Linked DNA regions of Schizosaccharomyces pombe. The gene in region 1 interacts genetically with each later gene. Each region holds a gene or a part of one and is shown on either strand. Other genes may lie near its edges.

What was found. Genes that interact genetically often act in the same process or in processes that back each other up.
Region 2: mutations in rpp201 (region 1) and ppk9 together harm fitness more than expected from each alone (negative genetic interaction), as found in Schizosaccharomyces pombe (one large-scale study listed by BioGRID).

What each region holds. Positions count from the first base shown.
Region 1 is NC_003423.3:3,641,422-3,644,234, forward strand, and holds rpp201 (ribosomal protein P2), read left to right. Parts: upstream 1-1,739; 5' UTR 1,740-1,767; coding exon 1,768-2,076; intron 2,077-2,139; coding exon 2,140-2,163; 3' UTR 2,164-2,232; downstream 2,233-2,813. Other genes in the region: nce103 (putative carbonic anhydrase), read right to left, coding at 1-529; histone lysine methyltransferase Set6, read right to left, coding at 2,397-2,813.
Region 2 is NC_003424.3:1,605,446-1,609,205, reverse strand, and holds the start of ppk9 (serine/threonine protein kinase Ppk9), read left to right. Parts: upstream 1-2,056; 5' UTR 2,057-2,116; coding exon 2,117-2,231; intron 2,232-2,402; coding exon 2,403-3,760. Other genes in the region: sterol transfer protein Osh3, read right to left, coding at 1-1,044.

The sequences.
Region 1 (2,813 bases):
GATCTTCAATGGCGTCAAGTTCTTCACGATTGTCTTCGATAACATCACGGATGTGTCGCAACCAATGATCCAACAAATTGTTTAAATTAGGACCAAGAGCAGCAGCGACACCACCGCATCCATAATGGCCACAGACAATGATGTGCTTAACCTTTAATACGGTCACGGAGTACTCCATAACAGCTAAAGCATTAATGTCAGAACGAGGAACGACATTGGCAATGTTTCGATGAACGAAGACTTCACCTGGAAGTAAATTCAGAATGGTGGTCTCAGGAACACGAGAATCTGAACATCCGATCCAAAGAACTTGAGGAGTTTGAATATCTTTGGTGGCTGTAAAAAAGGATGGGTACTTTCTGCTAGTTTGTTGTGACCAAGTCAGATTGCGTTCAAGCAAATCTTTGATTTCCCCATTCTGGTCAATTTTACCAGCGCCAGAAACGGGAGAAGCGGTTGAAGCTTCTCTGTCGATTATCTCGTCTTGATGATCGATTTCCTCAATACGACGTTTCAATCTATCAGGCATTTTCTTTTTTTTATCACTTTTCTCTAACAATTGACTAGACGAAAAAAACAATCTTTTTCTTCCAAGCGATGAAAAAGATATGGATTGTAAACAACTATTATAATTACAAGGAAAACGAATGAATCTCGATGTTAACCGCGGAGCCGCTATTATCGAGTAGCTGCTACTTTTTATTTGGTTAAAGGTAGACTGGAGTATGGTTTTTGGAAGCGGAATTTTTGTAGTTGTCAAAGCACCGAATGGTGGGAGCATGATACGTTTTTATACCACACGACAAAAATGGAAACGTTTGTGATGTGAGCAAAGCTATGATGATGAACTTTGATGTATAGCTAATACTCCGATAACAAGCCGTCCCGTCCGTCGAGTAGGTAAGGTTTATTGGTTTATCTATTATATAATGTAATTTATTTTGCTAGATCTTTGCAAGGGACTACCTACGGATAGTTTTGACGGCTTCGCAGTTAACAAAAAACCGGATACGATTGGCTTAAAATTGCAAATTGTCCCAAATATGAATAAAATGTTGACAGCCATAAAGATTTCGCAACCGTGCGAAATTTTTTTTTTCTAAACACAAAATTATTGGAGAAGAATCCGTCATTTATCAATTACGAGTATATCGTCTTATCGTTATACGTGTTTTCGATTAAGTTAATCTAAAATTAAATTAAGCGATAATTAGGTTTTGTAGATTGAAACATTTGTTAACATGGGCACCGCTGACATTACTATAAAAAAAGACGAAAAAAAAACAATTGCCCATTGTTACCCATAATAGGAGGAATGAAATGAAAGTAAAGACAATTGAGAAAATTTATTCAATAGCTTATACAGCTATTTCAAGTCTCGGCCAGTAAGTTAAGCACTTGAAGTTATATTTAAACCGTCAGTTTACCAAACATTAATATGTTTGTTTCAATTCCCATTGATAAACTCAAATACGTGTATGACATTAATTATGCCTCTTTGTGCATACGGTTTTCTTACTATTATAAAAATAATTAGCACGCCCTTAACTAACAACTATTTAGGTTGATTTGAACTTGTAGAAAAAGCTTGTAAATATCGTGCTCGTCAACTAAACGAATATAACAAACCTTAGAAATCATCGCAGCATTCCACTCAAACACATACCCTAACCTAACTCGAAAACCAGTCACAAAAGTTTCGAGTCCCTTAGTGTTGTGAATGCTTAATACTTTCTGCCATCAACACGCACTGCACTCCTCGTCAAAATGAAGTACCTTGCAGCTTATTTACTCTTGACCGTTGGTGGAAAGGACTCCCCTTCCGCTTCTGATATCGAGTCTGTTTTGTCTACTGTCGGTATTGAAGCTGAATCTGAGCGCATTGAAACTTTGATCAACGAGCTTAACGGTAAGGATATCGACGAGCTCATCGCTGCTGGTAACGAGAAGCTTGCTACTGTCCCCACTGGTGGTGCTGCTTCTGCTGCTCCTGCCGCCGCTGCTGGCGGTGCTGCCCCTGCTGCTGAGGAGGCTGCTAAGGAGGAAGCCAAGGAAGAGGAGGAATCTGATGAAGACGTAAGTTAATTTTAGATAAGAAGCATTCTTTGTTTCTCAAAAGCATCTTACTAACAATTTTAGATGGGTTTCGGTCTTTTCGACTAAACCAAATGATCCCTTGTTTTCATTACGCTTTCATAAAAATAAATCGCCGTGTTGGTTTTATTTTACCAATTTTTTTTTAGTGCTCCATTCGTAATAGTATTTTTCGTTTGATAAATGTAATTTTAGCTTACTTTAAATGTTAATGTACCACTGGTGCCCCGTGTTGTTGATTTGAATATAAGAGACTTTACACTTGTAAAGCAAGTCGTTGTTTCGAGAATAATAAATTTTATTTAGTATGTTACTAGGAAGTCTTTACAAGCGGCCCATAATTTTTCTTCAAATGCTTTCAAATTGTTTTGAACATGAAGCATGCAATAGTCTTTACAAACCTCAAATATTTCTTTAATGTCATTTTCCACATTTGAACAAAATGTGGTCGAAGGATGACTTATTCTAACTGCTTGCTGTAGCCTTTGAGCCCTATCTAAAAGCCACAAAACAAAATCATCAAGGGAAATAGAATAGCGGCCCAAAATACAGTGGTGTAACCCTCCAAATGATGGTATATTCTTCAATAAAAATAACGAGTTATTGGTAGGTACAGTCTGCTGAGGTTGAGAGCTGGACGGGAACTCCATCTCCAAAGGTTTGTCATTAGGAAACATTAAATGCTTTACTTCCATAGCCACTTGCTTTCCCAAAAGCAG
Region 2 (3,760 bases), on another chromosome or scaffold:
AAAGCATTCCAGTTCATGCAACAAAGACCCGAGTTGACGAGTAACCTTGCGTAAAGTAACCGCAGCTTGCGCGTTTTCAGCAGCAGTAATTTCCACTGAAGTACGGGTTTCCTTGTTTTCTTTGGCATCACCGGGAAGTTGTATACGGATCTCAGGGACAGAAAAATTATGACTTGAAGCCGATTTGATACGACTGGTGCGATACAATTGAGCAATATCCAGGCATTCACGTAGTCTTGAGTAAATAGAGACTAACTGATTGGATGACGATTCTTGTGTCCTTTCGTCTACTACGAGCTTTGAAGAAGTTTGACTATTTTTCGCCTTTTCCAAAGCATTGCACCAACGTAGCCAATCTTGGTGAGTATGTGCTCGTAGGTTCCACAGTTCTACGCCTGAATCAACGTTGATCTCATGCGTCTCTGCAGCAACGCTAATCACAGCAATGCTCAAGGGAATTTTACCGCGCATTACCGAAGAATTTTCGTTAGCATAGTATGAGATCGTGCCTTCCACCATGTTGAGAGTGAAGTAACGTCGAGCATAGCCTTGGCCCTTCTTTCGGCGCTTTTTAAGCAAGGTTCCAGAAATAATTTGTTTAGGAGAGCCATGGACTGATGCATTTGGTATTCTCGGACCGTTGTATGGTTGCGCGGTCAAGAGGAAGGTCACAGTTTTTGGTTTTGTTTTCGAAAAAGTGTTATCAAACACGAAGGCATAAAGTCCTCCATTCTCAATGTAGACAGAGCCCTCACTAGGCTTTTCCGACATACATCGCTCTCCTTGATAAAATAATTCTAACCCAGCAGCACTCAACTTCTTGATACCAGCTTCGTGAGTGTGTTGACGCTTTGTATGCAGGATGGAACGATCGGTGTTTTTGTTGGATCCATCTAGCAAGCTAGATGTGTCATTCTTTTTATGATATATATCAAACTTTATGCTTTTCCGTTTCACATGCAGTTGCCAACTCAGTAAGGAATTCGATTCCACCGTGAGCCATTGTATCAACAGACTCTTACTTCGTATCTCCACAGTTTCCATGTTGACTCATGGACTTCTACTGTGATAATTGCAAAACTTAGAAAGCCTATTTTTTTCAATTGATGACTGGAGAGGAATAAAATAATTGCCTAAACGTATGTGGTAAGAGATGGATTTTCGGTTTCGGGATTTTCGGGCGAATGACTCCAAGGTATTTTACCGATGCGGAACGTTCGGTTTTTTGGCGGCCACCTAATGTAATGTATACTTAAGTAGTAAACAAAGGGCTGGTAGCGGCAATAGGTATGCCAGTATGTAAACGGATACAAAGAAAATTTTGCACTTATCACTTTCCGTAGTGTGTACTTGGGATGCCTCGATCGGGCTATTTCAGATATGGCAAAATATACTTTACATTAAAAAATAGCTATACAAAAACATTCGCACGGTCTGTAATATGCGGTTTTATGTTTGTCTACTAGCATTGATGGCATCGTGCGAAATAATGCGGGTTTTTGGGATTAAACCGAAAATCAAATGTTTTCTGTAGTCAAAAAATCTAGCTGTTGTAATTTTTTATTTAATTGTCTTTGAGTATTTCTATTACTGCTTTTACTAATTTTATCATTATCACGGCTGTATTGTTGTAGCTTATTGTGCAAAAAATTTTGGCTAGAAGTTGGGACGGATCTAATGATGGAAGAGGGTAAATAGAGAGTTCCCATGTACTCATAAACTTTGAAAATTGGCATAATTTCCCATAACACAATACCAGCTCGATTTTCCATTTCATAACACAAAATTTACATACCTATGCATCTGATAACCCATAGACCGCGTACCTTAATTAAATAAAGTGCAGATTGGTTGCTCGTATCGAACGCTAGCGTTGTCTGCAATGTCGCCGTGGAGATGTTTACCAAAAGATAGCACGTTACGCCATATAATCTTATTACAAGGTTGCTTTGAATCACACTACTTTGCCTCGTGCACCTTTTTTATCGCTAACAAATTAGCATCAGATGCGCGGATCATGTTTAAGTCGGACGGTATGCAGCAACATGCACATGCTAACCACCTATATACACGAATAACGAATTTCATCCTATAAAGTCAGCTGGCTCGACTTGCTATGCAAACCCCTTCTTCTGCATCGGCAGAGTCTGAAAAGGATTCAGGAAACACCTATGTTGGGCCTTGGCTTTTGGGAAGGACTTTGGGACAAGGAAACTTGGCCAAAGTGAAATGTAAGTACATGAGGTGAAATTTAGTTGACTTTGTCTTGTAGGGGCTTGTTAATAAGATAGAGTAGACTACTTATAGACAGTAGAGATAGACTACTTAGGTGTCATGGTTATCTTGCGCATCGATCGTCTTTGATTTTGTTTTTGGCAATTGTACGATGGCTAACAGTGTAGTGGGCAAGCATTTTCAAACAAATGAAAAGGTCGCATTGAAAATGGTTTACAATGATGAATTGGAAGATAAAGATACGTGGAAGCGTTTACAAAGAGAAGTGACAATCTTAAGGCAATTGCACCATCCAAACATTATCACCCTATACCAGGTGTTTCGGGTTCCCAAGTACACAGTGCTCGCACTAGAGTATATGGATACTGATTTGCACAGTATGGTGGTTAAGCATAATCGACTGGATGAATGTACCACTCGCAAGATTTTTCGACAAATTGTCCATGCCATCGATTATTGTCATCTTCATCGTGTTGCTCACCGAGATTTGAAGTTGGAAAACATTTTACTTAATAAAGATCTGGTTGTCAAGCTCACGGATTTTGGCCTTTCCAATTTTATGCTTGATGGTTCCTTTCTGAGTACCTCTTGCGGTACTCCCCATTATGCTGCTCCTGAGGTTATTCAAGGCCGTTATTATGATGGTTGTGATGTAGATGTATGGGGTTGCGGAATCTTATTGTATTTGATGCTCGTCGGCGAGTTTCCCTTTGAGGATGTAACCATCTCCAATGTATTAAGTCGCGTTTGTAAAGGAATCTACACCATTCCTAGTTTTGTATCTTCTTCAGCCTCAGATCTCATTCGTCAAATGTTAATGGTGCTTCCTACTTCACGAATCAAAGTTGCAGAAATAATGCAACATCCTTGGTTTATCGCTGATCTTCCCACGCATTCCCGTTTACCTTCCCGTACTTCATCCTTTTCTTCCAAGCATCGATCTGTCACCTTTTCTCCTCCAGATCTTGCTATTCTTTTCGACCCTTCCATAACTTCGCCTTCCAGTAGTGTAGGTCAAATTCCTCAGCCCACAGATCACTCAGCCCTATCCCCGTCAAAACCAATGTCCATTTCAGGTACTGAATCTCCTAATCCAGATCCCGCATCTTTATGTTATTCGTCGTATGAGGACTTGTATTCGGCTACTTCGTGGCATTCTGACATGGCAGAATCATCCGGATTTTTAGATCCTACTGATATTCCACCAATTCCTTCTAACGTTGAAACTTTACGCTCTTCTCTTCCACAGAGACATGCTTCATTCATGAATAAGGTCTACAACCATCCATTATCCCGACCTCCCGCCCCCAACCGACTTCGTTCTTTACGCTGGCATTATGGGATTCAAACTGCCAAAAATCCAATTGAAGTATTGAGAAAGCTATGTGAGGCTTTACTTGAGTTAGGAGCTCGGTTTCGGCCCTGTGATGAGGAATCTTTTCTAAAGGAAAATAAGTATAAAGTGTTTTCATGCATTACATGTCATAATTCTCCTGTTTATCTGGTTATTGAATTATTCTCTATT